4 linked regions of the Tamandua tetradactyla genome follow. The protein of the gene in region 3 interacts with the protein of the main gene of each other region in a pairwise test. Links are inferred from orthologs where the notes say so. Each region holds a gene or a part of one and is shown on either strand. Other genes may lie near its edges.

What was found.
Region 1: the proteins of MTUS2 (region 3) and ENKD1 interact in binary tests that used the Homo sapiens proteins (3 or more experiments, as listed by UniProt). The link is inferred for Tamandua tetradactyla from reciprocal best matches to the Homo sapiens genes MTUS2 and ENKD1.
Region 2: the proteins of MTUS2 (region 3) and CDK18 interact in binary tests that used the Homo sapiens proteins (3 or more experiments, as listed by UniProt). The two-hybrid records come from large-scale screens. The link is inferred for Tamandua tetradactyla from reciprocal best matches to the Homo sapiens genes MTUS2 and CDK18.
Region 4: the proteins of MTUS2 (region 3) and uncharacterized protein LOC143659047 interact in a two-hybrid assay, tested with the Homo sapiens proteins (2 studies listed by BioGRID and IntAct). The two-hybrid records come from large-scale screens. The link is inferred for Tamandua tetradactyla from reciprocal best matches to the Homo sapiens genes MTUS2 and ZNF224.

The regions. Positions count from the first base shown.
Region 1 is NC_135342.1:61,397,948-61,405,261, forward strand, and holds the start of ENKD1 (enkurin domain-containing protein 1), read right to left. Parts: upstream 3,018-7,314; 5' UTR 3,010-3,017; coding exon of another isoform or gene 2,905-3,009; 5' UTR 2,617-2,904; intron 2,369-2,616; 5' UTR 2,354-2,368; coding exon 2,269-2,353; intron 2,140-2,268; coding exon 1,945-2,139; intron 1,397-1,944; coding exon 1,224-1,396; intron 266-1,223; coding exon 140-265; exon of another isoform or gene 36-139; coding exon 1-35. Other genes in the region: C16H16orf86 (uncharacterized protein C16orf86 homolog), read left to right, coding at 2,905-3,009, 3,285-3,451, 3,843-4,060, 4,138-4,574. UniProt on the Homo sapiens protein: Microtubule-binding protein which regulates microtubule organization and stability. Promotes the stability of astral microtubules and facilitates the proper orientation of the mitotic spindle.
Region 2 is NC_135330.1:63,229,992-63,237,652, reverse strand, and holds the start of CDK18 (cyclin-dependent kinase 18), read right to left. Parts: upstream 3,004-7,661; 5' UTR 1,965-3,003; intron 1-1,964. UniProt on the Homo sapiens protein: May play a role in signal transduction cascades in terminally differentiated cells.
Region 3 is NC_135330.1:194,043,866-194,051,383, reverse strand, and holds the start of MTUS2 (microtubule-associated tumor suppressor candidate 2), read right to left. Parts: upstream 3,015-7,518; 5' UTR 2,826-3,014; intron 1-2,825. UniProt on the Homo sapiens protein: Binds microtubules. Together with MAPRE1 may target the microtubule depolymerase KIF2C to the plus-end of microtubules. May regulate the dynamics of microtubules at their growing distal tip.
Region 4 is NC_135342.1:20,258,693-20,265,856, forward strand, and holds the start of uncharacterized protein LOC143659047, read right to left. Parts: upstream 3,017-7,164; 5' UTR 2,992-3,016; coding exon of another isoform or gene 2,970-2,991; coding exon 2,967-2,969; intron 1-2,966.

The sequences.
Region 1 (7,314 bases), on a different chromosome or scaffold from region 3:
TTGTGGCTAATGAAGTCCACACCTGGGCCTGGCCCCTGCAGGACATGGCAAACATGGAGGGGGCAGGCACACTGTGTTGTGCCTAGAGCGCCCCCAAACCTCTGCCCAACATGTTCCCAGCCCCCATGCGTCTTCTCACCTTGGCATTGGGACCTGCTGGGGTTAGGGGAAAAGTGGGGACACGGGGTGGTGGGAGCCCAGGGCCACAGCGGGAGTGTGCCCGCAGGAAATGGGCTGACTGTATCCCAGAGGCAGGGCCAGGCTCCTGGAGGGCAGGGCACAAAAGGGGGATCAGTCAGACTGATATCAAGATCTCAAGCCATAAGACCATGCCCATCTTTCTTGCTTCTCAGGAACTCTATCCCAGTCCCTATTGGCATCCCTCTTACAGAAACACTTCTCTTCAATGTTTAAACCTGTGTGAGTCTCTCATATTTTTAAGAAAACAACAAGCCACCCCTCTTTGTCTCAATCCTGCTCTAGCTATTACTTTCTCTCCCCTTCTTAGCCAAGCTTCCTGGCTCTGGCCACTCAAATTCACTGACAGCTGACCTCCATGCCCTCAAACCCAAGGGTCACTTCCTTGGTCTTATCGTCCTCAATATGATCCTCTGGAGTGCCTGGGTCTCACTTCCGAGATCCAGAATTGAATAGCCACCTGCTTCCTGTGGGTCCCCCAGCAGTCCCACAAACACTTCAGCTTTGGCACATCCACATGTGACCTTGTTTTCTTTTCTCTCAACACTGCTCTTCCTTCTGAAGTCCCTGTTCAAGGAAAGACAGAATCCTACCACCACACCCCTACCCTTCCTGCTACCCTCAGAAATAAAGGTTGAAGGTGACATATGTAGCCCTTTACGATGTCGGTCCTGCTGACTTCTTAGCCTACCTTGTGCTCTTCTTCCCTCAGTATTAATTGCACCCAGCAACCTCATTGTCCACTCGACTTTTGGCCTCAGGATGTCTACCTAGGAGGTTTTCCCTCTATGAAATGTTCTCTTCCATTCTCCTCTTGCCTAATTTCTCCTTGTCCCTTAGGATCAGTCCAGCCATTACCACTTCTGAGAAGGTCCTCAGTACTACCCCGTAGCAGGGCCAGTTATCTCTCAGTCCTCTGTCACTTAAGTTCCCTGTGATTTCTTCCCTCCCCATAACCCAGATCAGGATATAATTGTATGCTGATGGGCAAGCTTGATATTATTTCTCACTCCCCAGGCAGGTACCTGTAGCTGGGCCTTGACCCGGGACTCCACCTTGTCGTACTTGGGTGAGTGCCACAGAGCTTTCAGGGGCCTGGGCTGGCCTTGCTCGCGGCTGCGTTCCTGCTCGCGGAAGCGCCTCTGGATCTCCCTGATCCGCCTCAGGTTCTCCTTCTCATGGTCTTTGGTGTCCTTCCCTGGGGAAGAGATGCTGTAGGCCCTGCCCTACATACCCCCCATGCAATCCAGCTTTCTCCCATTCACACACAGGCCCACCCCTCCCACAGAAAGAACTACCTGACCTTTCCACCTAAGTTCCTGTCTTTACACAGTAATACTCTTCCATCCTTGACTACGTTTTACGTTTTTGTGTAATACCATCAATCATCTTGTACATACTTATCTCTTTGTTTCGTCTCCCACCTTGATCATGATGGATCCTGCTTGCCTTCACCTGTTTTTCTAGCACCTGTAAATTCTGGCCCACAGTAGGCACTCAAAAAACAGCACTGCATTAATGCATGAATGCTTGAAGCTGAGCTAGGGCTTCCCCGGGACTACCTCCTTCAGTCCTTTCCTGCGAAGAGGTAGTGGATTGTTTTCTTGCTTTTATGGTTGGGGAAACTGACTCAAGAGGGGCAGAAGCCTGTCCTAGGTCGGGGAAAGAGTGGGCGCTTTTCATTCCGCTTTAGACCTCCGATTCGACTCGTCTGGCTGTCCCTTCTTCCCCCTTCCCGGGACCTACTCTTGAAAGGGGCCCCTGAGCCCAGAGAGATGCCCCCGAGTTGCAGCAACACGTCCCCCGCACCACGCCTGCCAGGCTCCTGTATCTTTCGAGCTCCGGGACCGATACAGGGGCCGCGGAGAAGGGCGGCATCCAGGTCGGGATCCGAAGTCAGCAGGTCCAGCTTCAGTGTATTTCCCTCCAGGCGCCCTTGGGCTGCGGGGAAGAGGGAAGGGCCCGGGAGGGAAGGAGCGCCGGGCTCAGTCTCGGAGCTGGCGCAGGCGCAGGCGCAGGCGCAGGCGCCGGCCCCGGGCCCAACCTGCCGCGGCCAGGCTCCCGACTCACCAGAGGCGGGCCGACGGTAGTAATCTGGGCAGAGCGTAGGATCCGGGGGGATGGGCCCCGAAATGCGGGACAGGCCCTCGCACATGCCGCCGCCGTTGCCCTGCAAAGGTGCACCGAGGCCTCCCGGCTGCGTATTCCCGGCCCCTGGATCCCCTCTCTAGTCCCCCGCCTCGTCCACCGACCCGGACGCTGACCCCAGCTGTGCACCCCATTCCCGGCCCCCTTCTCGTCCCGCGCCCCGCTCCTCAGTCCTGGCCCACGCTCGCCACCTCCGCGACATCCGATCGGAGCCCACTTTCCTGCCCTGTTCGCGGCCCCTCCCCCACAACACCCAAGCCGGGGTCTCACCAGAGCAGTTCTGTAGCCCGCTGTCGCGGCGACCAGGGAAGTTGCTGTTGCCTAGCAACAGTGGTTTCCGTCCCTTAGGTTAAGGGTGAGTGCTCCTGGCGCAAAGCCTTCTGGGGCTTGTAGTTGCAGTTCCAGTTGAAGGTAGGCGTAGAACGGCTGCCAGTCGCCTTTTCCAGTGCGGCACTCGCCTCCAGGCCCTTCTCTCGGGTCAGCGCGGGGTCCGCCAAACCGACCAATAGGGTCCGTCCCCGTAAGCCGCCATCGAGGATGTGCTGACCCCACGCAGTCATGGCCTCAGCAGGGGCGGAGAGGCGGCTGGGGACCCAGGAGGGAACTGCCGTGGGGCCCGCACCACTCACCCAGGCGCCGGGTCACCGTGCTAAGAGCTCTGAGGTGACCATCGGTCCTTGTAGACTTCAAATACTTAGGCCAAGGCCCCCTGGGGCATAGAGGGTCAAACTTTTGGGGATCCAGGCCCTGTAACTTCCAAGACCCGCTACACTGGTGGAAAGGGGCACATCGGTGCCTTTTATAGAGTGTCTGATATCTAAAGTCTGATTCCTGTATCCTTTGTCTAGTCGAGTGACCAATTACCTATGTGCCACATCTAGTGTACAGTGACAGGAGACCAGTGTCTGGTACCAGTCAATGAGGCTTTTTGGCCCTAGGGTGAAGACAAGTGTCCAGTGCAATCAGCCTCAGAGCCAGAGCTCCAGGAAAAGCGACTCAAGTCAGAGGAGAGGTTGAAGCCAGAGGACACCCTGGAGGAGAAAGGCCACAGGCCTATGGCCTCTCTTGTGAGGCCTGGTCAGAGTCCCAAGAGGAAGCCAGTCAAGTGAGGGGGCTTTGAGAGAGAAGGGGCTTCAGGGCTGGGGGATGGGACTGACACTCCACTAGGATTCCTAAAGCCTGCATTCCTGCAGAGTCCCCTTGTCCCCCTGAAACTTGTCCTCTTGCCACCACCACCATCATCACCCCCACTCCTTCTGTCCCTCAAGAGCCCTGGTGTAGGAAGCACCAAAAGAGGAGGAGCCTCAAGGCCTTGGAGGGGACTGAGTTCACATGAGCTCTGAGCCCTGGTCCAGCCTGGGGCCTCACTGACCAGGAAAGGAGAGTTATCTGATCCTGGGTAGTGGGTAAGGAGGGCAATCCCTAGATCCTGGGCATGGGAGCCAGCGGGTGGAGATGCCACCTCAGGCCTCCTGTCCCTGGCTCTGGTACCCCAGCCTTCCAGGACCTAGTCACAATGCCCATCCTAGAGGTGAAGCTGAGATGCCACCTGGACCACTGCTGCAGAGGGAGGAGCCAGAGGGCAGCCAGAGCGAACTCTCACCATCTGCCAAACAGCATAAAAAAGTCAAGAAGCGCAAGAGTCTGGGGGCTCCAGCACACCCAGCTGCAGCCAGCACAGTGTCTGCACCTTCAGAGACCTTGAGGCTGGAGCGTGAGTGGCAGCCTCTGGGCCTCCCCTTTTACCCCTGCTTACTAGGTTGCCTGACATGGCACACCTTGGCGCTCCAGCCTCTTCCCTGCCCCGGGTCCTTGCAGGAAAAGCCCAGCGTCTGCGGCCCCTGTACCAGTACATCAATTATTACAATCCTGAGCTGAACCAGGGAGGGGAGGGGGACAGGGAGACGGAGGCTGAGGTGGAGCCTGACTCAGAGTTGGCCATAGTCCCTGAAGAGGCAGGAGTGGAGCAACTGCAGGCCTTGCTGCCCGTGGCAGGTGAGCTCAGCTCAGGCCTTGCTTTGCCCTGCCCCAGTACATTAGTGGCCCCCACCCATGCCCTGGCTCTCCTGGCAGAGGAGGCTGGAGAGGAGTCTGGGTGTGTACCCAGCTTGAAGTCCTGCAGCCAGCTGAAGGCTGAGGTGGATAAATCGACCCAGGTGGACATCGACAAGATGCTGAGTGTTTGTGCTGCTCCACTTGTGCCCCCACTATCTCCTCAGTACAAGTGACTATCCCACCCCACTGGTGGCTGCCACTCCCCCAAGAGCAGCAGCCTGTGGGCCTAGGCCCTCAGGAAGAATCGGGGGAGGGGAATTCGGCTCCTGACCACACTTGCTGGACCTTGGGTTCGCTGACAATAAAAATTTTTCGTTTTCTCAGACTTTGTGATTCCCCAAATAAGACAACTGAAGAGGGAAAGAGGCTGGGAAGAAGGGTGAGAGGATTCCCCAGTGTATGCTCTGAAGCCTTACTGGTCACCTGGATCACTTGGGAACTTAACAAATACAGATTTCCGGGTGCTATGCAGACTTAACTGAAATCAGAATCTGCAGGGTGGGGCTTGGGTTCCATATATTTAAAAGTTCCTCAGATGAATCTGCTGGTCAGGGAAGCTGCAGAGGGAGGCTGCAGAGAGGGAGGGAAATAAGGAGAACTTGGGGCAGAGAAAGGTAAGGGTCAGTAAGGCAAGCAGGTGCTTGGCCTTACCCCGTTTTCCAGGGAGGGGGCCTGCATTTGTTCTGACCTTAAGGGGACCAGCACTTGTGATCTCCTCCCACCCCCTGTGAGGTCGCAGAGTTCATTTGCCTGCCCCTCCGGTAGCTGGCTTTAGAACACTTTCCACACATTGCAAGACTAGAGCTGGACCAGACCTTGCCCAAGGAGTGGTCCCTGGTGCCAGAGGCGTTGGTGCCTTTTTCCTGGTAGGGAGGGACTTATGAGGTGAATTATGTCTCCCCAAGAGACTTGTTCAAGTCCTGGTCCCATGAACATGACCTTATTTGGAAACAGTGCAGATAGAATTACATCAGGCTAAGGTCATACTGGAGTAGGGCAGACCTCTAACCCACTATGACTGGTGTCCTTATAAGAAGAGAGAGAACACAGAAGATGGCCATGTGGAGACAGAGGCAGAGACTGTAGTGATGCAGCTACAAGCCAAGGAACACCAAGGATTGCCAGCAACCACCAGAAGCTAGAAAAGGCAAGGAAGGATTCTTGTCTACAGGTTTCAGAGGGAGCATGGCCCTGCTTACACTTTATTTTGGAACTATGAGATAATAAATTCCTATTGTTTTAAGCCACCCAGTTTGTGGTACTTTTTATGGCAGCCCAAGAAACTAAGAGGGGGTGGTGGTGGATGTGAATGTCTTTCCAGGAATCCTGCAGCCAAACCATCAATGAATGCTGCTTCCAGCCTTCTGGAGCCTCTGGAAAGAGCTGGCCATTATGATCATTTTGGGAACCCTCACATTCTGCTGCCTCCTGGTCTTCTGGTGTATCCCCCAGACACCTTAGATGCAGGGAACTCCAAATTAAATGAATAATTTCTTCTCTTTCTAACCTGCCTTTTCTCCTGCATTTCATCTTCACAGTTGTTCTAGCCCAAAATCCTGGATGTTGTCTCAGACTCAACCCTGCTCTCTGACTCTTACAATCAGGCATTAAGGCCAGAGAATCTACCTTCTCAGATTGAGAACCTCTCAGAACCCACAGACAGCACCCTTGTTGAGGACACTGTCATCTCCTGGAGAAAGTCTCACTTTCCCCATCAGTCCATTCAGTGATCCTACTACACATGCACCTGAACCCCTGATAGTATGACTCCCCTCTAGCATCTGCCTCTTTTGCCCCGGTTGCCTCAAAACTTTTCAGTGGCTTACTCTAATTCCCTGACCAGCCCCATCTTTTCTTACCTGCATGTAGGGCTTCCCCTGCCCCTCACCCCTTCACCTGGCTCAGGGCACTCACTTCCTGCATGGCCAGGCAGTGTCCAGTGTTGCCTCTGCATTATAACATCTACATACTAGTGCCATTGACTAGACTGTGAACTCCCAAAGGCAACAACATTGTTGCATTACATCTGCCTAGCAGAGGGTACCCACAAGGGCTGCAAGATTGGGAGACTAAGATGAGGAGCTGAGGGAGCTGCAGAGTCAGATCAGGATCTGAAAGGCTGAGGCTATCCGAAGTCCAGAACCATGTGTAGCACCCCTGGAATAATGGCCTGATTAGGTCATCAGAAGGCATGAGGTAGGCAGGCCCAGGTAGAGGAAGGAGGAAGGAAAAGTACATGGTCTCCTTTCCTAGCATCATCCCATGCTGCTCCCTCCTTTGTGGGTTTCTTGGATGCTTACTGGTCCTATGCAAGGCCAAAGGGCAGGCCATGCAGTCAGGATATTCATTCTACTTTCTGCCCAGTTTTCCTTAGTGCAATGAGTTGACCCTCCCAGGAGAAAATGTCCTGAGACTCAATTTTATCCACAGGGCTGAGCTCAGATCCTCAGGATTTTCCAGAGGTAGAGGGCCCTTCAAGATAATGGAGCTTGACCTCCTCACTCTATGGCTAAAGAAGTATCTGGGCAGAAGCAGCCTTTGTATGAGACCCCACCCTGGGATCCAGTGAGGCCTGTCCTTCCCTGAGTCCTGCAGAACATATGGGCCTGAGGGTTCTCTCCTAAGACCTGATCCCAAGAAGGCCAAGAATTGGCTTTCTCTGTGTGGTATGGACAAGGCCAGCACCGACAAGGAAGTTCCAGTCCCTGACCTTCCTACAGATGAGGTAAGAAATACCCCAAGGTGATCATAGAAGAGAAAACAGTCTACATTTACTGGTAAGCTATTACCTGGCAAGCTTGTCTAAATAGGGGTTGGTGTCGTGAGCCACAGAAAGGAACAAGTCCCTACCCACTACTGATCCTAGAAGCTCACTCTAGAGAAAATGCTGAGGCAGAATGATTCAAGGAGACA
Region 2 (7,661 bases), about 130 Mb from region 3:
CCCAGGCTCTGGTCAGCTAGATTTCCCTATCCGTGGAGTACCTTGGCCTGGATGGCCCTCTGGCACCTCCCTGCCTCTTCTCCAGCTATTCCAGCCCTCTCTGCCTCCAAACCCCCCTCAGAAAAGCCTCTGAAGGTCTCAGAGTTGCTCAACTGCTCTCAAATTGTCCCCTGGGTCAGGGCCACCCATGCAGCCAGAGCTCAGGCCCCTCGCAGGAGGAACTGGCTTATTCCAGTCACGTGGTCATTTCACAGGCACCTGCCCCATGGCAAGGCCTCCGCCTCATACTCCCCTCTCTGGCCTCCTTGTCCTTCTCCTACTTCTTTCTCCCTGCAGGGCCTTGTGAACTCGCCTTCTCTGTCTGTCCCCTGTCTCGTGGGCCTCTTGGCCCTTTGCTCTTCCCCATCTACACACTTTTCCTGGGTAACCTCATCCTCACCCCTGGGAAACCACCACCCACAGGCTCACGCCCCCCAGATCCACAGCCCTGGCCTCCCCCAGCCCCCCGAGCCTGGGCCTAGAGACAGTCCTGGAGACAGCAAACAGCTTGACCGAGATGCACTTCCAGGTGAACAGGGCACGTGCATGCAACTGGCAAAAGTTGTATTTGTGATATATATACACGCCGCGTCACATACAAACAACATACAACCCAGGACAGAAGTCAAACATTCACAGCAGCTACATGTGGGTGGTGGGATTACGGGCAACTTCAATGTCTTCCTTTTGCATATGTGCATTTTCTAGGCTTTTTCATCATGAACATAGACTGCTCATGTAATAAGAAAACATTAACACTTGTTTTTAAATGAAAAGGAAGTACCTTTATATTGCTATTCCAGAACTGTTTAGAGTGAGGCTTAGGGAGAACCATGATTATCTTGAATGGGGGTCAGTAAACTTTTTCTGCAAAGGGCCAGATGGTAAAAACTACAGGCTCTGCAGGCCACACAGTTTCTGTCACAACCTCTCAATTCTGCCAAAGTGGCACAGACAGCCACAGACAACACGTAGACGAGTGAGCATGACGGCCTCCTAAGAGGACTTTACACTAAAATTTTAATTTTATATAATTTTTAAGTCTCACGAAATATTCTTCTTTTGATTTTTTTTTTAAATGCTCAAAACATATAAAAGCCATTCTTAACTCATGGGCCATACAAAAACACGTGGTAGGTTGAATTTGGCCACACGCCATGATTTGCCAAACCCTGCCCTTGAGCATTCAATATCAGTGTGGTGGTTTGGAGCCAGCATCCACTTCTTTGGAAGGTACTCCTTCTCTGCTCTCAGACTGAGGGTGAGGCCTTCTAGGGTTTCCTTGCACGTGTGAATTGTGGCAAGGACTAGGTATACGAGCCTCAGCTGGGGAAGCCCCTGCAAGTTTGAGGAGCAGAAGGTTTGAGTGCCTTCTGGAATCTCAGAGCACAGCTCACCTTGTTAGCAGGGCTGGAAAAAGTTGGTACTGTAAACCAGCAGTCCTGGCTGGGGCTTTAGAAATCCCTTGGTCTGTGCCCTCAATTTTCAGGTGATGATGTGAAGACTTAGTGACCTACCCAAGGCCACCCAGATTGATAGGGGAGACGTGAGATTAAACTGAAGGCTTGTGACTTTAAATACAATGTCCTTTCTGCACCCCTGGGGCCACGAGTGATGGCAAGGGTTGCACTGCAAGGGCCTATCCAGAGATGGCATTCCCTCCACTGGGCACCATTGCCAGGGAAGTCAGCAGCCGCTCATGGGCCACCTTGCATAGGAAGAAGATGTGGCATGTGGCACTGCACAGAATGTGGTGACCAGTCCAGCCTGGGGTGGGAGTGCCGGCTTGGTTCTATGCCAGCAGCAGGGAGGGGCTGTGACCCCTCTGCTAGCCTCACCCTGCTCCCTGCTGGGAGAGTAGGTCTGGGCCCCCAGCATAGCTTACATGATGGACACTGTCCACCAGCACAGCGTCTTCCACCTACCTGCTTCCAGGCGGTGGGTTCTGCCAGGACATAGGGAAGGACAGCTTTGTCCCCCACAGGGCCTGGTCACCTAGCAATGGGCTCCTTTTCTGGGTGGCAGGGGACCAGAGGAGAGAAGATGCCCTGGTTCCTGAGGGAGGAAAAGACAGGCTTCTTTAGGGGAGAAAAGGTGTGTGGAGCTTTTCTGGAACTTCCCAAGGAGATGATAAATGGAGAGGGCATGAGGGAGGGTGGAGACGTTTTAAAAATAGAGCCCCCTTTCCAATTTGGGACCTAAGACGTGGTTTTTACAGAAAAATACTGGGCAGAGGCCAGGGTACTGAGGCCTGCCAGATGTAGCACACTGATTCCATTTGCCCTCATTGGTAATGCTGTTAGGTCAGACCAAAAGCTAGAGGTATCGCGAACATTCTCCCACTTGGGTCCTCTCAACCACACGTGGTAATGCTACTATTCTTTCCATTTCACAAAGCAGGAAACTGAAAGTAGGATGAGCAAATTACTCCACCTAAAGTAACCAGTTACTAAGTAGCAACGGCAGGATTTGAACTGACCCTAAAGTCCATCAATTACCTCCACCTATGGTGGAAAAGAGACGCATACTAGGCACATCAGTAATGAATGAATGCATCAACACATCAGTAATGAATGAATGCATCAACCAGCCCTATTGGGTCACCTTGTCTATACCCAATCCCTCCGCCAGGGGAGATGTTACTTAACGTCAGGGGGTGAGGGGTGGCATGGTTGGCAGGGGGCGGGGACCCGTCATCAAGAGTTCTAGGAAGGAGGCTCTCACCACTGTCTCTTTGAAAGTTCTGGCCAATGTTTCCCAGACCAGGGTGCCCTCACCTCGATCTCACCAGAGATACTCATGCTGCCAGGGAGTTTCAAGACCCCTTCCAGGTCAAAGCCAAACCACGCAATGTCCTTATCCCCCATCCCTCCCCATTTTCCTCAGACAGAAGCATGGAGATTTCAGGAACATATGGGTTCTCCTTCAGACAGCAGGGCTGGCTTAGATGCACCTACACTTTTCCCTCTTCCTGCTCTGCTGCTGTGCCCCTGGCCCGCTCCGCCAGCCCCAGCCACCAGCTCTGCAGCAATCCCGAGGCCCCAGACCCTCCACCTGAGCTGCCCTGGGTTCTGCGGGCACACGTGTGTGTGCATGCATGCAGCTGTGCTGGCCAGGACAAGCCTCACCGTGGTCTGTTCCCACCTCCTGGAGATGGGAAAGAGCCCATTCAGCAGCTGATGCCTACAGAGTGAAGGCGAAGGGTCCAGGGTGGAGGGAAGGGGCACGACAGGACACAGAGTCAGGAGAGAGAAATGTGACTCGTTCCCAAAGAGGTGAAGCTAACCAGGTGGGTCTGGATCCAGGCCAGCCACTCCCTCATGGTCACAGAGCAGAGGAGGGACCTCAGACCGGGCAGAGGGTCTTTTACTCCCGGGGAAGGAGGCCTGCCCGAGGCTCCTCAGAGCAGGAGGCTGTGGATTCGTCAGGCCCCAGTGCTTGCCTCACTCACATGCTGGAAACTAGAGGGCAGAGCCCACCAGGTCACGATTCCTGGTCCCCTCCTGGCAGGTTCTATCCTCCCTGGTCCTCTTTCACACGGCTCCCCCTTACCCTGGAAGAGCAGGTTGAGGGCTGAGCCTAACATGGGAGAAAAACCAGCCTCTGTCTCTCCCCCAGAACTGGGCACTGTACAATGGCCAGGGAAATCCCTTTTAAATAGCCACCACCACCACTATAGCTTCTGGCTACTTAGCATCTGCCATGTGCCAGTTTGGTCTGTGCTGGTGCTAGAGTCCAACAAGATCCCGGGTTTTCTCTTCCCTTGGGGTCTCAAGTTCAGTTAAGGAAGAGGGAATCATGGGAGGGGGCAAGTGGAGGTGCTGCTGACATACAGGGTGGCCCCAGAAAGGCGAGCCCCAGGTGGAGCTGAGAGGAGCCAAGCCAGGCTCTGCCCTACACTGTAGGGCCCGTTGCCCCGCACACAGGGAGGCCCAAGTAGTCAGAGAACCAAGGCTGCGTCTGTAGGAGGAACAAATGCAGCCTTAAAGGCCGGATGGAGAGGCTGCTAAGACAGGCAGGGTGATCCCATGAGATCTCAGATTAGCAACCCACTTTTTTTCTCAGATCTGGTGCCCTCTTTCCTGTGACCCACGGAGAAGTCTGGCTCTGCCTGGCACAGGACAAAGGGAGCTTCATTACTCAGAGCACGGGCCCCCTTCATTCTCCCAAGGAGTGATGCAGAACTAGAGAATCCCAGAGCAGGCCAGGATCACCCCGGATTGAGCTGGGATAGAGAGCAGGGGCTTGGGGTCACGTGGAGAAGGGCTGGACCTCGCTTCTGTGCGACCTCGGAAAGGCTGATCTCTGAGTCTCAGTCTCCTTACTTGTAAAGTAAGGGTAATAATATGTACTCTAAAAGTTGTTGTGACACTTACGGTGTTTAGTATGCAGTAGGTAATCAATAAATGGTAGCCACTGAGACATGCAGAGAGCAGATAAAACTCATTGAAATATACTCTGGCTTCTGGAAACGCCAGGATATTTGGGAAGAATGAACAGGGAGAATCCTAGGATCCTAATGGTCAGTGAAGTCCCAACACCCCCAGAGGCGATGGAGTTGTCAGCCCTACAGGCTCATCGGCTGCACAGAAGGTGGCTGGCCTGGGGCAGGGTAACCCTGAGACAGGGGCTTTCCTGTGGCAAAGTGACCTTCTGCAGAACGCCTTTAGGATGCCGACCTCCACCCCGCAGCCAGCGTTGCTTGGGGATGGTGCCTGGCCTTCCCTAGCTCCACCGCAAAGCCAGGCTAAATAAGGATGATTTCTGCAGGCCCGCTGCCAGCCAGCCAGCCGACTGTCTTCCTCGAAGATTCTGCTCTCTCAGGCCAGTGTCCAGGAACGTGGCAGCGGCTTGACACAGGAGGGGCAAGCAGTGTCAGTGAGTCCCAGGGCCCAGGCTGCAGGTGGGGGTGAGGGCAAGACAGCGGAAGCCGGGGGACAAGGTTCTGGGGAGCTGACCCCCACCCCTCACAACCCTAACTCGTCTACCTCTGCTGCCAGGAAGGGGCTCAGACAGAATTAGAAAGAGGCCACAGGTGCCTAGGAAGGTGTTGACAACTGCCCCCCCACCCCCACCCCCAGCACAGAAAAATCAGTTACCGTCTCCACAGCCTGACTCCTACCAGAAGCCTAGGGACAGTTCCAGGGAACACCCCCCCACCCCCACCCCAACAAAACAAAATAGGGAGACAACGAGGCCTCCAGCCATACCCGATTTCAGATTTCTAATGGTCTCCCCCAAGATAGTAAGAGCAGAGTCCTCAAGCCACGTTTCTTTAGTCCTTGCGTGACCCCCAACCCACCCCCACCTTCCCACCACAGTAGTAACCCCTTGTCTACCGCTGCTGGGCTGGGGCCGATCAGGGACTGCCCCTTTGGTCTTCCCGAGGGGGCACAGTGAAAAGGCAGCACGCTCCACAGGCCTGTCCCTCCTCCTCCCCACTCCCCGTCCCCGTCCCCCCAGGTCTGGGACCAGCAGGGATTTATGCGCCCTCCCCATTCATCCCAGGGCTCTGCCCCCCACCCCCCACACACTCCTAAGCCCCTCCAAGGCGGCTACCTGCCCCCACACTCCTGGGACCTCTCTTTCCCGAGCCTCCTGACCCTTGCCCTTCCCAGAAGGAAAAGCTCTTACATAGCGCCTGGTTTGAGGACTCGGTGGAGAACTTTGCTTTGTAGGATTTGGGCGGGAGCCCGGGGGCCAAAACGGGGTCCTAAATGCAGACTCCCTGGGGAGAGGGGGGTGGATCTGAGAATGAAAAACAGCTCTCCCTCCCTCTCTCCTAAGCACCTGGAACTTGGGAGTGTCCTTTTACGGGGCGTCGCCCACCCCGTCACACACGCGCGACCTGCGATCTCGGGATCTCCCACGTCCCTCCGGTATTTCCCTCCAACCCCTCGCCCCAGGGCGAAAGCAGAACTGCGCCTTTAAGAAGCTGTCCGCTTACCTTCTCTCGTTCACACGGCGCCGCGGAGCCCCCTCCTCCTCCGACCTCCCTGCCCCTTCCCGGGCGAGCCCCCCGCAGAGCCAGCCGGACACACGGCGCAGCCCGCGGGACTCACCGCGCGTGTCCTGGGGGCCGCGGCGCGCCGGCTCCCGCCCACGACGGCAGGGGCGCAGCCAGACTGGGCGCCGTACCCTGCGCCCTGCGCCCTGCCGAGGTCCCTGCCCGCGCTCGGGGCTGCTTCCCCTGCTCCAGAAAGGTGAGCGGCTCCCCAGAGAAGCTGCAACCTGAGCTAGAGGAGGAGGAGGAGGAGGAGGAGGGAGGAGGGGAGGGGAGGAGGGGGTGGAGGAAGGTGGGGAAGAGGAGGGAAGAGGAGGAGGAAGGGAAGAGCCCGGTCCCCGTCAGAGTTTTTCACACGTACAAGTTGACTCCTCCCTCGTCCCTCCGGCCCTGCCCACAGCCGCTGCCAATCCCTAGGGCTCCCTCTGCCCCGGTGCCCACCCCTTTCTCCCACTCTGGGAACCAGGGTCCAAATGCCTCTTCCTGTTTGGTTCCTAGGCCAGGCTCCACCAGCCTTGGGGGACTGGCCCTGAGAGGTCTGAGCAGGGGATGAAGCCCTCTGGACTGGATGACCCCGGGTTTGGGGCTAGAAGACCAGAAGGCTTTGCTGAGCTCCTTTCTCTAAGCACCCTTCTCTCACCTTCTGGGCGGGATCCTGGACCCGCACCTCTGGAGCTCACCTAGGGAGGCAGGTTCTGTTGGTAAATTTTCACCTTTAGAACTCTTGACAGCAGTAGCCCTGGAACTCTCCCTCTGACCTGCCCAGTGGAACTTGTCACTTACCTTTAGGGACAAAGTCCCCACCCTTGTTGGCTCCGCCTCTTGAGTGCTTGAATGAAGCCCTGTCAGCTGGCCGTTCTGACCCTGAACGGTAATCCCTTTTGTCCTTTTGGAAGCAAACCCCAGGGGCCAGCTGAGAATCATCCAAGAAGCCCTACAAAATAAAAAAGTGCTAGTCCAGCTCTCATTTTACCAAAGGGAATATTGAGACCCCCCCAAAAAAAAGGAGATTGGACTGGCCCACAGTGCCACAAGGAGTTGGCCGAGAACTAGAATTAGAACCCCAGGCCAATGGCTGCTCCACTCATACCATTTGCTTACAGGGATTGAAGCAAAACTGGAGGAGCAATTGCACCCCCATCTGGACCCCTTCTAGTCCTGCTTCCCCCTGAAGGCTTTGAGAAGAGGAAGTTAAGCTTTAGCTCCAATGAGCACCAAATCAAGGAAGTCTGCCTGGAGGCATGGCATCTTCAGCCTGGGAGCCCTGGCCGGGCGGGTCTTTGGAGGGGGTGGTCCACCTTATGGATAGGTGTCTGCTTGAAGCCTTTATCCACTGCTGATATGACCTGACTGTCACCTTGCAGGTCCCAAGCTTTGAGCCTGGTGGGATTGCTCGGGGAAGACATCAGCCCGAGTCCCACCCTCAGGCCAGCCTCTGGTCCTGCAACATCACCCTGCATCGAGCCCACAGTATAAGGGAAGGCCCAGATTCCTCAGGAACTGGAGAGGGGAGAAGGAAGGGAGCATTGGACCCATGAGTGAGAGGAATTTTTAGGTGTTTGGCATGGGGCATCCTCCAAGGGCCTCCCGACTCTTTGCTACCCTTGTTTTCTCTGCG
Region 3 (7,518 bases):
GGAGGGATGAGGCAAATGGGTTGGTGCGGGAGGGGTCAAGATATTAAGGTCTGAAGATACCTGAATTCAGGTGTGAACGTTGAAATCGTGTCAGAGATAAAGGGAAAATCCTCAACCCTTTTCTGCAGACATTCCTGTGGTGGACACAGTGAGGCTCCTATTTACTCACCACATCTGCTAATGGGGACAACCAGACGACTCGTCCAGTCCTTCCCAACCTGCACTGGTTTCCTGCAGGTTCTTCTCCAGGTCTGAGTTTGTTCACTCACAGTTTAAAATTCCTATCAGAGACAGATCCCAAAAAGATCTTCTGTGGAGCTGACATTAGCTGTTCCTATCAACTCCTATTAAAGAGGTGTCCCCTTCCTTGGCAGCCCACCTTGAGATATGCAAGTGCTTTAACCCACTTTCTCCCCACCCTGCTCCCATCCGGGTTTTTCTAAGCTTCAGCTCACACTCAGATCCAGGAAAAGTGCCGTTCCTGAGACAGCAAGGCGGAGGGCCGGTTCCCCACATAACCACTGACTCCCTGCCACCCCCCAGCCCCGGGACACAGCAATCTGCATTTCCTCACCTGGTCAACTGCAATACCTCTTTAACTGTCTTTTCACAAGGCTACAAAAGTTAAAATAAGGAAAGGCAACTTTATGGGTGAGCTTAACATTGGCAAGAAATGGAGACTCAAGATTTGTGGAGCCTGAGGTTTACATACTAGGGAAGAGGTGTGGTATAGTCCTTCTTTAAACAGAATGCAAAAGTGCACCTACAGAATTAGGTTTGGCCACGTGGACACGTTGCTGGTGCTCCTCGCAGGAGGAATTCTAGGTGAGGGGCCCCAAAGCTTAAGCTTCATCAGCTTCCCACTCAATCCACCTCTGCTGGAAGACAGAAAGGACGACAGCAGTTTTTACTGCAGCACTAAAATCTCTAGAAAACCACTAAGCATAACAGTTTTCTATTGCATCAGTCCTCTGGATACTATTCTTATCTCTCGTTCACAAACCACCATCGCCGCTGTTCCCTTTAATTTGGCAGCAGCAATTCATTATACAACTGCATGGGCTGGCCTGGGCTGTGCACCCTTCCCCTCTTTTGACTAGCGATCTAGCTCTGTGTCAGTTATGTAATAGCCAAAACACAGTCGCAGTTCTTACATAAGCCTTCAAAATCAGATAGATATTTCAACCAGAAGCCATCTATAAGATATGCTCCCAGATTCGGACATTATACATGAAGTAGACAGAAAACACTGACTTAGCAGCCAGCTTTACTTCTGGTCTTAAAAACAATGAAAGCTCTTTGTGACTTAATTTATTGGTCTATATGAACATAAGGCTTTAAATTTGCTAGAGAAAATCGTCTTTAATAAGCCCTGAATATTTCATCACGTAAGCATAAAAGAACATCTTGACACTACTACTCAACATTCCCTGTTACCCCTGCACAATGAAATGTTCCGCTCAGGATTCCGGTAAGTAATCCCCAGGGAAGTCTGGGTCCCTGATAAAAACTATTCTTTGCAGTGTTTAAAAAAAAAAATTTAAGAAAGATTATTTAGACAAAATACGAAAGTGCACATGCTATAATTCATCAGCATATCTCTTTTCCAATACTTTTCTCTCGCCGTATTTTGGACTGCTTATGTCTGACTTTTCTTAAACCAGGGCAGCCACGCCTTGGCTGACAAAGTGATAAATGAAATAATATTCTCCGTAGCTCTCAACACAGGCTGCCCGGAGAAGCACAGGCAAGCTTTTAACATCACAGATGCCCAGGCACCACCAAAAAGCAATCAGAACAGACTATCAGAAAGAAGGGGCCCAGACATGGCTATATATGATGATTTCTACTTTGGGCTTCCTCTTACCCAAAAAAAAAAGTAGCCAAAAATAAGAGTTAGAGGCTTTGCTGAGGAGGTGGAGGGAGGAAGGTCTCTATAACTGGTAACTCCCAATTACTAAGTTTTCATCAGAGATCAAAACAAAATCTTTCAGAAGTCTGAAACCCATAAAGGACAGCTGTAGGATCCCTCTTATCACTATCAGTAGTAAAGACTCCTAACCAAATTTCATAACAGCATTTACAAAACCTATTTTGCTTTTTAATGCTTTGCAATTCTACCCAATGATTTATTAGAAAGGGCCCATGTTATCTTAAAAGGGTGTCTTCCAGCTAAGTGCACGCTTATCTTCCAGTAAAGTTTTGGTTTAAAGCAGAAACCATGATTCTGACTTATTCTCACCCTCTCTTATTCCACGCTCTGGGAATGACTTTTATAACTTAACCACCGAGCAAATATTTTTTTGAAAGCACTTATATAACAGAGTACAGGCGCCTTTGGTCTCCTGCCAAGAGCACTTCTTTCCGTGTTTGTATTTAAAATAGACTGGTAGTAACATCACTTGTGTGCCTGAAATTCCTTCTGTGCACAGGCTCAGAATGAAAAATGGAGGTAGCAAGCCGCTTGGTCCTTTACAGAGCTTGCCATTATAAAGCTCGCAGGAAATAGCACATTTCATACTAAAATAAGACGAATTCACAGCCCCGATTTTCCAAGGCTGGGGGAAGGTGGCACTCGGTTTCACGAACCTCCCCTCCCCTCTACAGCAGGGATGTCTAACCTGGCGGCACGCGAAGGTGCCCGAAAGGCTGCGACACCCCGGCCCGAGCAGGTGACCTGGGCAGGGGAGAGAAAGTGCCCTCGGGACCGAAAAGCCAAACCAGTGCGGCGCTGCCCCGCACTCCGGCCACCTGTCTCGCGGGGCTTCCGGGGCAGCTGCAGCGCCCAGACGGCCCCCTGCCGAGCGTGCCCCGGGTTCGCTCACCTGCGTGGGAAAGAGCCCGGGGAAGGTCCGAGCGGCCGCCGCTGCCCGCGAGCACCCTCTCACCCCGGGCCAGGCTCCAGGGCGCTTCCTCCTCCTCCTCCTCCTCCCCAGCTCGAGTTTTCCAGCGACCCCGAGGTCTGCGCTCCGCGGCTCCGCCAAGGATTTCAGCCCCGGGGGATCGACAAACTTGGCAGAGAGACCCGCGGGGCGGCGCAGGTGGCGGCGCGGGGGACGCCACGGCACCTGGAGAGCGCGGCCGCGAGACTGTCACCTCCGCCCGCCCCGCCCGGGCTGCGCCGGGAGCGCCCCGCAGCCCCCGCCCCCGCACTCACCTCGGCGCAGGCCCCGCCCGGGCCGCCGCCCCCGCTCGGCGCTGGGGGTCCGCGGGGGAGGGCAGCGGGGCCGCCGGCCGCACGCCCGGGAGCTCCACGGCGCGGCCGCGGCCGCCGGACAAAGACGAGCCGCGGGGCCGGCGGCGGCGGAGCCCGAGCCCCGGCGCGCCCCTCCCGGCTCGCGACGTGCGGTCCCCGCTGACAGCCGCGCGCGGGCGGGCGGAGGCGCGCGCACCCCCTCCCGGCCGCCCCCACGCACCGCCGAGCCCCCGGCGCCTCCGGCCGCCCCGCGGCGCGCGCCTGCCCGCCCGCACCCCGCGCCCCGCGCCCCGCGCCGCCGCCGAGGGGAGAGCCGAGCGCCCTCTGCCGGCCGCCAGCGCCCGCACCCGCGACACCGCCGGCTCCCGCTCGCGGGGGGCCCGTGGGCGCGGCCCCGCTCAGCCCCCGCCAGACCCCGGCTTCGGGAGACCCGAGGGGAAGGAGGAGTGAGACCGAGGGGAGGGGGGACACTGGGACAGATACCTTACGCCGAGGTCACAGCACGTCGGTTCACCCAAGGCAAAAGGTGGCAGCAACCCAAATGTCCACCCGCAGATGGACAAACGGAAGGTGTGTGCCCGCTGGGGAATACCACTCAGCCGTCCAAAGGAATGAAGTGCTGAGACGGGGGACAACGGGGATGAGCTGGAAGACACCATGTTGAGTGAAATAAGCCAGGCACAAAAAGACAAATGTGTGATTCCGTTTCTATGAAATATCTTTAATAAACAAATACATAGAGACAGAAAGTAGATGGGGGTGAGGGAGGAAGGAAGGGACTTAATGCTTTCTGGGTAGCAGTGCTTGAGGGCGTACAAAATTCTTGGTAATGGATGGTGTTGATGGTGCCACAGCATTTGTAATTACCACCACCAAAGTACACTTTAAATGGCTAAAATGGGTTTAAAATGACTGAAAAGCTGGCTAACAGGGCAACAGGGCAGCGACTTCCAGGACTGGCGTTCTTGGAATTATGTACAGCGAGAAGAATTGGGCGACGCATCGGGAAGAACTCTCAGATGGAGCCCAAAGTCGGTCTTGAAACTGTTTGCCTAAAAGGCAAATGTTGCTTTATAGAATCAGGTCTTTATTTCTGTGTTGAATAAGCACCAAGTGTGCCTAACACTGAGAGAGGGATCCGTCAGCCTTGACAGATCGTATGAATAAATCCATCAGTTAATATTTTCCGAAGACCTTGGGGTCCCACCTTCCTCTCCCCTAAGCAGGGCTCCTGAAAGACTTGACAGGGCAAGTGAGACCAGAGAACAGCTGAGCTGTTTAAAAATGCTAGGGTTCAAAAATGTTAGGTGAAATGACAATGTACTAAAGAGTTGTTATTACAAAAATGAAATGATGGTGCTAGTTTCTTGCACTATTTAGGTTTCTGTGTCTTTTAATGGGGATCTTTTTCTCAAACTACTCTGTTAAACAGTATCTTATATCGGCTAATTTTTTTGAACAAGCTGGACTTGGTGAAGGGAAATCTCGAAATACCATTTGATTTTGCCCCCACACTGCTGTGTTTTAAGTTCATTCTATCGGATCTCCCTGCTTCTCTGGAAGAATCTAGGGCAGATTTCATAGCTTTATCTGTCATTTCAGCTGTGAATAGCGAGTTTGGTTCTCTGGTATTAAAAAGTCCAGTCCAATCCAAATCAAAACTCCAATCTCCTCCAACTGCAGCTTCCCCACTCCCCTCCCACCACCTGTCAGCACCCAGAGGACCCACATTCTGAAGGCAGCTGTGGGGAAGACCAACCTTGCTCTACCTCTACCCCACCCCCACCCCGGCTCCAGGCAGCCTCGCTCCTCCAGGAGGTGGGCTGGTGGGGGTGGGAACCCACCTGCCTCCTAGCCTGCTGCTGACTACTCCGAGTCCCACCGCAGCTTCTCTGTCTAGTGGTCCACCTCACAGGGCCTTCTGGGGGCTCTGTGTCCTGGGAGGCAGAAATGGTTCAGACCCAGCCCCCTCCCGCCATGTCTGCTGCAGCCCGCAGAAATCCCCTGGAATTTTGCCTATCAAATTCTAGAGGTGCAGACCACTGCTCCTGCAGGATCCTCTCCTCATTCTGTGGTCACAGACAGCCTCCACCAGCCTCTCTCCTTGAAGCATTTCACGTAGGAGTCAAGGTTAATATATGTCCCCGAACTCCAGGAGATACCTACCAAACTCTCCAGCTAGTTCCCAAGAATCCCACCTTTCTTTGCACTGCCAAATAAAAATCAAATCCTGACCTGGTAAGGAGAGACCCTATTTGGAAAGATGATTTTAAAGGGGGAAGGGCTATTGCAATAGGGAGAACACCCGACCATGAGGTCTGCAAGCATCTCAGGACTGAGGGAAAAGGAGGTTTTCTTTGATAGGAAGGAAAGAACTGGGTGTAGGGTGGTGGGGTGAAAGGGTGACGGGATCAGAGAGTGTTCCAAGAATATTTTATGTCGGGGCAGCCTATTTACTGGGAGGTGCCCTGAAAGTTTAAGGGTCTGGAGGAAGGAGAGACACCTCAGCAGTTTGGTTATAAGCATTTTGTCCTGATTGCCCAGTGGAGTGGCGACATTTAGGAGGCAAAGGACGGGAGTTTGGAGGGTCTGCATCTGGTTTGTCATAGGTAAATCAGGGGGGCATCCCTGAGTCTTTTCTGAGTAATAGGGGGACGGGGGGCTCTTTGCAGAAAGCTGTTCTCCAGAACACAAATGGCAAGGAATCACTTAACCTCCGCTGATTCCCAGGATCACTGGCTCAGGTACAATAAACCCTGTCTGCGTGAACTGGGTGGGTCCTCCCACCTCTTCCCAACACTCTGGACTCTTTCCAGCGAATTCCCACATCCAACCTCCTTGAACCTTGTCTCATTTTCTTAAACTTGGGCTGAAGGTGGCAAGACCCTTACTTAGCAAATCCCACAAAGATGGTGCAGTACCTCGATTTAAAATGTGGAAATGGCTGTCTCTGTGGCCACCCTGGAGGTGTGCTCCCCAAACTACAGGCACGTAATGAACCAGCAGCCTCCAGGGCTCACACCTCCGGGCCCACCAAGGCACTGTGGTGGGGGGGGTCACGCGCCCCCTCCACCCCCCAGCTGTTCCCAGCCAACACCTGAGCCTGGGGGGAGGACTAAAGCTGGCCCGTTTGTGCCCAGTGCAGAACTCTGACCCGCAGCTCTTGCCCAAAAGCTCCTCACAGCCCTACCAGCTTCACTCAGGACTGCAGGACTGCCTGACCGGCTTCCTACACCATCTTCCTTCCTTCCCCTGTCCTTTCTCAGGTGTCAGACCTCGCCAGTCTGATGGCCCTACCCACTTACAAGCCAAGCTGCTTCTCCCTTCCTGCTGTCCTTCCCAGGTGTTTTCTCCAGTACATGTTTTGATCATCTAAATTCTTCCTGGCCTCTGCTTCTCAGAGGTCCAGCTGGCAAAGTCGCCTCTTGTTTCCAGCTGTTCCGAGACAAAGCCCACTTTAATCTCTGGGTATGTTTGCATCTAGAAACTGTGAAGAGAAGAGTAGAAATGTATTTTGATGAAAAAATAAAATGTGATCAACTGGCATTTTAGTTTAGGGTCTCCCTTCCCAGAGCAGAACCTGATGGAAGGACTCAGGGACAGAGTTTATTTCGGGAGGTGATCCCAGAAGCAGCCACAATGAAATACAGAAATCAAGAGAAGGAAGTTTGGAAAAAACAACATAAGGGTGTGGGACACAGGGCGGTGCAGCGGTGGCTCAATGGCAGAATTCTCGCTGCCATGCCAGAGACCCGGGTTCGATTCCCAGAGTCTGCCCATGCCCCCGCCCCCAAAAAAAAAGTGTGGGACACAGGTCCCTGCTGTACACAGCAGACACTCAGTACCGCTGGGTCTCTGAGACACTTAAAAAAGCCCTCCCAGAACTGTCATTTCTAGGATGGGGGTATGAGCATGTTGGGAATCACCTTTGGGGTGTCTACTCCCCTATGCTTCCGAGCACCCAGGGCTTTAAAGAAAGCCTTGAGGCAGAAAAGAAGGATGACCCTGGCAGCTTCCTCGAGGCAGAGCATTGTCAACTTGACTCCCAGCAACCAGTGTTTTGCTCATTAAAGCTGCAGCTGGAAGGCAGCCAAGGAGGTGGGGGCACAGCATCAACAGAGTCTGCTATGGGGGACTTAACCAGACCAAGGAGCAGGCGAAGGTCGCAGAGAGAGGGCAGAGGCATCTGCCTTATGCAACTGCAAACTGCTGCAATGCCAGTAGGAGGACTGAGGAAGAGCCAGTGGAGTGGTGGTTGCAAGTCATGATAGTCACTTGGGCGGGAGACTGGTCTACCCAACAGCAGGCTATTTATTAAGGGT
Region 4 (7,164 bases), on a different chromosome or scaffold from region 3:
TGGGGTTCACCCCTATGAAACATATTCCTGCAAAGGATAGGCTAAGCCTACTTATAATTAGGCCTAAGCATCACCCCCAGAGAACCTCTCCTGGTGCTCAGATGTGGTCCCTTTCTCTAAGCCATTGCAGCAAGTGAACTCACTGCCCTCCTCCACTATGTGGGACATGACTACCAACAGTGTAAATCTCCCTGGCAATACGGGACAGAAATCCCAGGATAAGCCAGGACCCAGCATCAAGTGGCTGAGAAAGCCTTCTTGACCAAAAGCGGGAGAGAAAAGAGACAAAATAAAGCTTCAGTGGCTGAGAGATTTCAAACAGAGTTGACAGGTCATCCTAGGGGTCATTCTTACACATTATATAGATATCCCTTTTTAGTTTATGGTGTATTGGAGTGGCTAGAGGGAAGTACCTGAAACTTTTGAGCTGTGTTCCAGTAGCCTTGATTCTTAAAGACAACTGTATGACAATATTGCTTTTACAATGTAACTGTATGATTGTGAAAATCTTCTGTCTGATGCTCCCTTTATTGAGAGTAACTTTGCCCTTTTACCACTGAATTGTGAATAGTTAAAAGTTCTGTGTTCAGGTGCTTTGGGCAGCGTGTTTACCAACAAAAAGTGTTCTGTGACTATAGCATACCTCCATACAAAGTCAATTATTTGGGTTATTTGGGCATTTATTAACTATGCTAGAGAAAACTCAAAATGAGAAGAGCAAGTTGTCACTATAAGCCCTGTATGTGTTTGACTAAAAGCCCTTGTGGGGAGGGGGAGTAAGCAAATGGGTGAGAAGAGAAAGATCCTCCTACAGTAGAATGCAAACTAACAAAAGTAGAATGCAAGATAGAAAATTATCAATGGATGCTAAAAACTAGTGAAAGATTTATGAGGAATAGACATCTACATAGTCTGAAAGTATTTCCACACAAAATACTAATAATTACAAATGGAAAAATAGTAAATATATGGTGGCATATCTGGCAGATATTACCTTAACCAGAAGAACAAAGTTGAGAACATCAATATTGCAACAAACCAATATCATTAGCCTCAAAGGATGAAAAGTGAAGGAGGCCTCATTACTTCTGTGATATCCCTGCTGATAATACATAATCTGAATCTAATCATGGACAAACATCAGAACCCCAAAAAGTGAGCCATTCTGCAGAATAACTTGCTTTGAAAAATGTCAAGAGCAAAAGAGAAAAATAAAGGTTGAGGAGTTGGTCTTGATTAAACATGAAAAAAAAGAAATGTAAAAACTAAGTGCCATGCATATAAATGAACTGCAGGAAAAATAGCTCTAAGATTTTATTGGGAAAAAATGAACAAATTTAAATATTACTGTGGATTAAACCAACAGTATGTTATCCACATAATTACTTTCATTTTAATCATAGCACTGTGATTATATAAAAGAATGTTCTTGTTCTTAGGAAACATACACTTAAATATTTAAGGACAAAGAGGCACCATGTCTCTGGCTTATTCTCAAATCATTTAGAAAAAAATTTATATAGGGGTGTAAGCATAGTTCAGTGGTAGAATTCTTACCTGCCATGCAGGAGGCCTGGGTTTGATTCTTGTCCATGCACTTCCCAAAAATCAAACAAAAAATCAAGAAAATGGTGCCATAATAAGAGGATACTAACATGGAAAAATAATGAAATGTGACCCTGCTACACGACATACCAAAAAAAAAAAATACAAACATAAAGCTGTAAAGAACCCCCTCACCATGATCCAGCTTGATAGCTAATAGCGACAGCAGATAGAACTTGGTGTTCTCAACTGATCAAGAAGAATGAGACAGGGTCACTCAGTGATCATGGTAAATAAGAAAAAACAAGCCCAGGCCAGAATCATGTAACAGATAAACAATCTACAATGACAAAACGACCAAATGACTGACTCTCTCAGCAAACACGAGACTATGCTTCCTTACCAACAACTTCAGACTCACTTTGATTCTCCCACCTTCTAGATCAATATTATTTCTACATCCAGTCATGAATTGCACCTGCTTCTTGACAGCATTTAGATCAGTATTATTTCTGCATCCAGTCATGAATTGCACCTGCTTCTTGACAGAACTGAACCCTGAACAAACCATTGCTACCTAAAACTTTTCCCAACTAAGCTAACACTAGTCAAAACCCAATAACCAGCCCCCTCCTAACTGCCTCTTACTGAAATATCCCATTATTCCCTGCACTGAACGGGCTTCCTTGCTGCAGCAAGCTAAAAAACACAAAAACATCTTAGATTACATTTATCTTCCTGGTGGTATTTGACTGATAGTCATCCACAGAGCAAATACGCAAAACGTAAACAGTGGGTCCTGGTAAGGAGAATATGAGAATTTCTTACTCTATGTTACAACTTTTCTGTAAATTTAAAGTTATAACGAAAAGTTAACAAATCAAGAAACAGTCATGGTAACAGCAAAAGCAATAACAATAATGATGATAATAACGATACCAATGACATCTAACGCTATCTGCAGCGACTATGCAATCTTCCCACCTCAGGTAGCAGTCCTTCAATGCAAAAAGAGGGCAATGAATCTACTCCATAAAGCCTGGGAGAAATATTTCTTCACAACTTAAAATTCCCTCCACTTTGCCTCTATACTTGCCAGCTGCCTTCTGCTTATGTCAAGAATGTGCAAGAAGACCTGACAGTTCATGATATTTACAGGGAAAAAATTCAATGGATGAGGTAGGTCCGGCATGTCTGATTCAGTTTTATTTGTGATACCCAGCTGGATTAGTTTCTAGGCCTGAGTTTCCAGGAAAGAACCTTTCCTGGGCTTCTCAAACTTTAACATGCACAGAAAGCACCCCTAGATCTTATTAAATTACAGATTCCGAGGTCCTATTTTTAGAAATCCTAAATCAAGAAGTCTTGGGGGGTTTGAGGATGAGCATTTCTACCCAGGTTGAAGCCATTGGTTTGTATACCATAGTTTGAATAGCAGTGCAGCATCTTCCTGTCCAAAGGTAAACAGCCACTAAACGGAAATATACACAAAGGTTAACTAAACAAAAATGCATCAGAATATTAGCAATTGTTATCTTTACATCCTAAGATTAAGGATAATTTAACAATTTTCTTTTTATTTTATGTTTTCTGAATTTCCACAATGGTTTTATGTTGCTTCTATAATATGATTACTTGAAGTAAAATGAATTAATTGAGAATACATTTATATTTAAAAAAATCCCTCACAGAATAGATTTAACACACTAACCTTGCTTTTAAGTTCCCCACAACCAAGTTCCATCCTACTTTGCTACCTGATTCCAGTCAGATCCCTTTGGCTCAAGGGGAATATACCAAAGAGATTATGAATGTTATGATCTGGACTCAGACAGCCTAGGTTCTAACTCCTTCTCCACCTCTTATTAGCTGGGTGACCATGGGCAACTAACTTATCCTTCTTGTGTCTCACACTCCTCAAATGTAAAATTACAGTGTAAAAGAACAGTACTTAACCATTTTAAAAGTCATTGTCTGCTGGAACTGTGTGATTTATATAAGGCCTTTAGAATGGAACTTAGCAACCAAAGAATAATTATCATTACCCACGGCCAAGAACATCTCCCACGTGTTCTCCAAATCATGTGAACATCTTTACAGAAGAATGCTAAGTCCTATTCACGTGGGACCTGCTACCTGTGGACCCCTCCTATGTATAGTGTTTTTAGAGAAATCAGGGCTGGGAAGGAAAGAAGGCTGTGAAATCCAAGATTCTGTCTCCACCCTTAATAAATCAGTAATATCCTTCCATAACAGGCAACTCCCTCATTCACAAAACAGAGGTCAGACTGATGTGTATAGCTGCATTATTCATGATGGAGGTGAGCAAAGAGTCCATAGGCTGAGAAGCGGAAGGGAAAGCTGTGGTATGCATATACAATGGAAAATTATGCGGCTACAGAAAAGAATCAAGTTGTGAGGCATGTATCAGAGCTGAGTGAACCTTGAGGACATTATGTTGAGCAAATTAAGCCAGAAACAAAAGGACAAATATTGTATGCTTTCATTTAGAAAACGTTTATTAAAAAACTAGGGCCTGGATTATAAATTCTTACAGTAGTCACATTATTTCCTGAATTTTAAGATGCTGTGTTCTTTGAGTATATAACTTGGTATATACCTAGGGCTATAGGTACCTGTATGACACCTAAGGCTCAGAGTTAGAGTTCTACAACTCTGCAAATCAGCATTACTCCATACAGCAACTGTTAAAGAAAATGAAAAAGAGATCAAACTCCAATTAGAGATATGAATAAAGCTGATCTATTTGGAATTAAGGCAAATCAGGATACAGGGTAAAGGATGATGTTGTCTGTATGTTAAAGCTTCAATTTCTATGTGAGACCAAAGGAAGACATGTTAATTCTCTCCAAAATTTAAATTTTCTGTAGCACACAATCTAGCTTAACCTATCTGGCCAGTTTATTTAAACAATCTAAATCCATGGAGTCTAGAATAGAGAATGAGATCTGTTGATTCTGCATAGCTTAAATAATGCCATGGTACATTCCACAGTATTTTGAGCAGATAATTTAAAAGTATTTGCAAAGCCCCTTGAGGGACTGGAGAAAAAATACAGAACTATTAAACTTCCCCAAATGGAAAATTTCTGAGGTTCTCTCAAGCACTGGGGACTCCCAATTTAATAAGCCAAGCCCTCAATCTTGAGGCTTGCTCTTATGAAACTTATTTCTAAAGGTAAGGTAAGCCTATTTATAAATACACCAAAAGTCACCCCCAAAGAACCTTTTTGCTGCTCATACGTGGCCTCCGTCTAAATGCAACTCTGCAAATAAACTCACTACCCTCCTCCCTACATGCGACATGACTTTAAGGATAAAAGTTTTCCTGGCAACATGGGAAATTACCTCCAGGGATAAGCTGGGCCCTGGCATCCTGGGATCATGAATGCCTGCTCAATCAAAAGGGGAAAAATAATTGTTACAAAATTAGGTTTCAGTGGCTAATAGATTTCAGAGTCCAGAGGTCATTCTGGAGATTACTTTAATGCAAGCTGCAGCCAAAAATTACAAATTGCCACAGTATGCCAAGCCACAACCAAAAGTTTTCTTGAAAACCTTAAAGAAACCTAGGGCTCTAAGACTCTATAAAAGTTTTTACTTACTAAATTTATTTTTCAGAAACTTAAAACCTCCAGATTGTTCCTATACCAGGTAAGTTCTGAAACTCAGAGGTATGGGTTTCTCCCAGAACATCAACCAGTACATTCCCCTACCCCATATATTAACAGCTCTTTTCAAGAAGAAAATATCCCTGAAGATTGAGAAAATAATCAAGAGGGATGAGTTGTAACAGAGAAGTTAGGATTAAATAAAGGATTAGGACTACCGAATCATTTCTTTTTAGTTTCTAGTGTATCAGAGCAACCAAAAGGAAATACCTGAAACTGTGAAACTGTAACCCATACTATACTTGGAAATTTGCTCTATAACTACTTATTAAACTGAACTTTGAAATTAATCACGTTTTGGTATATATTTCACAATAAAAAATGTTAAAAAAAAAAAAAAAAAAGATCAGAAGGGGTCCAGAACAATCTTGCTTCCTGGGATCACAGCGGTTCACTGCCAAACAGGGGCTTCTAGGAGTGTTATAATTATTAATAACAATAATTCATGTGCTTGGCAGTTTTAAACTTTTAATCACTATCTCGTTTTTCTCAAAACACCTAATTAGTATTCCTTTTTTATAGAACACAGCAAACAAAGGCAAAGAGATGTTAAGTAAGTCGTCCACTGTTAAACGTGTGACGTGGAAGGGGTAGCATACAGGTGGCGGAAGTGGGTAGGAAAGCGGGGACACTGTTCGAGACTTCCGAACCCAGCTAAGCATGCCCAGTGTTCACCCCAATAAGGAAACACCCCAAACGCGAAGAAGCTCCACCCAGACGAACGCAACCCGCCGCCCTCACCCCTCAAACCTCCGTGGTCAGCTGCTCCTGTATCGCTCCAAACGAAAGGCCATGGGCTATGGCTCGAAAGCGTCGCGCGGAATGACCTCAGTCACCATAACCAGCAAAAATATGGCTACTACCTTGTCCTCGTCGGGGCGGAAGTGCGTGCGACTATTCGAAGTTCCTGGACTACACTTCCCAGAATGCCGCAGCCCCGCCCTCCTTGAGCTGAAGAGCTTGAGGAGCTCTTGGACTTGTACTCAGAATGTGTGCCAGGAAAACGTGTGGAGCTGCTCATTCATATAGCGGAAGTATGTGAGACTACATGGAGTGCGTGCTACGTAGTGCCAGTTGGGCAAACACTCCCACAGTACCGCTGTCTTGGACTACTCTTCTTGGGATATCCAAGAGGAAAATAGAAAAGCCGCACCCCCCGAGATTTCCAGTTATCAGAGCTCCTGGTTTTACTTCTCGGAATGCTCGAGGAGGTCTCCGGACTAAGGCCGTGCCGATCTAATGCAAATGTGTCAACAGCGTTAGGACACTTCAGTCCCTGATAGTGCATAAAGGTGAACCGCGGGGTTGTTAGTATCTTCTGGCCGTTTGCAGAAACAAATGAAAACCCTCTAGAGAAAGGTATCATCATCCTAGACCTCAAATTATTTCCATAACTAAAAAAATTATATTAATATTGGACAAGGTGGACTTTAAGGGAAAACGCATTCCGAGACATAACACACACACAATAATCAGCGTTCGAAGTTACCATAAACTAGTAATTTGACCTCATATTTTATAAAACAAAAATGAACAGAAACAGAGTAAGACAAACGCATAATTAGACTGGGAGATTTTAACACGTAGAGGGAAATATTGAGCCTTAAATGCCTATATTAAAATACAGCGGAAGCTGAAAAATGGAGTAGGAAACATCCATTTAAGGAAACTAATGAACAACAGAAAGTAAATGGAAAAAAAATAATTAAGAGTAGATTAATGAAGTACAAAACAAAATACAGTGGTTTTCCCGCTCCCCCCCCAAGCAAGGCCAAAGATGACCTTGTCAAAAAAAAAACAACAAAATTGATGAAGCTGTGCTGAGAATAACAAAGAAAAGGGGTAGATATGAAAAACTGAATGGATATAAAACAATGTTGAAATGATGGGAACTTTATTTTTGAAACTGGGAATGAACAGAAAATATT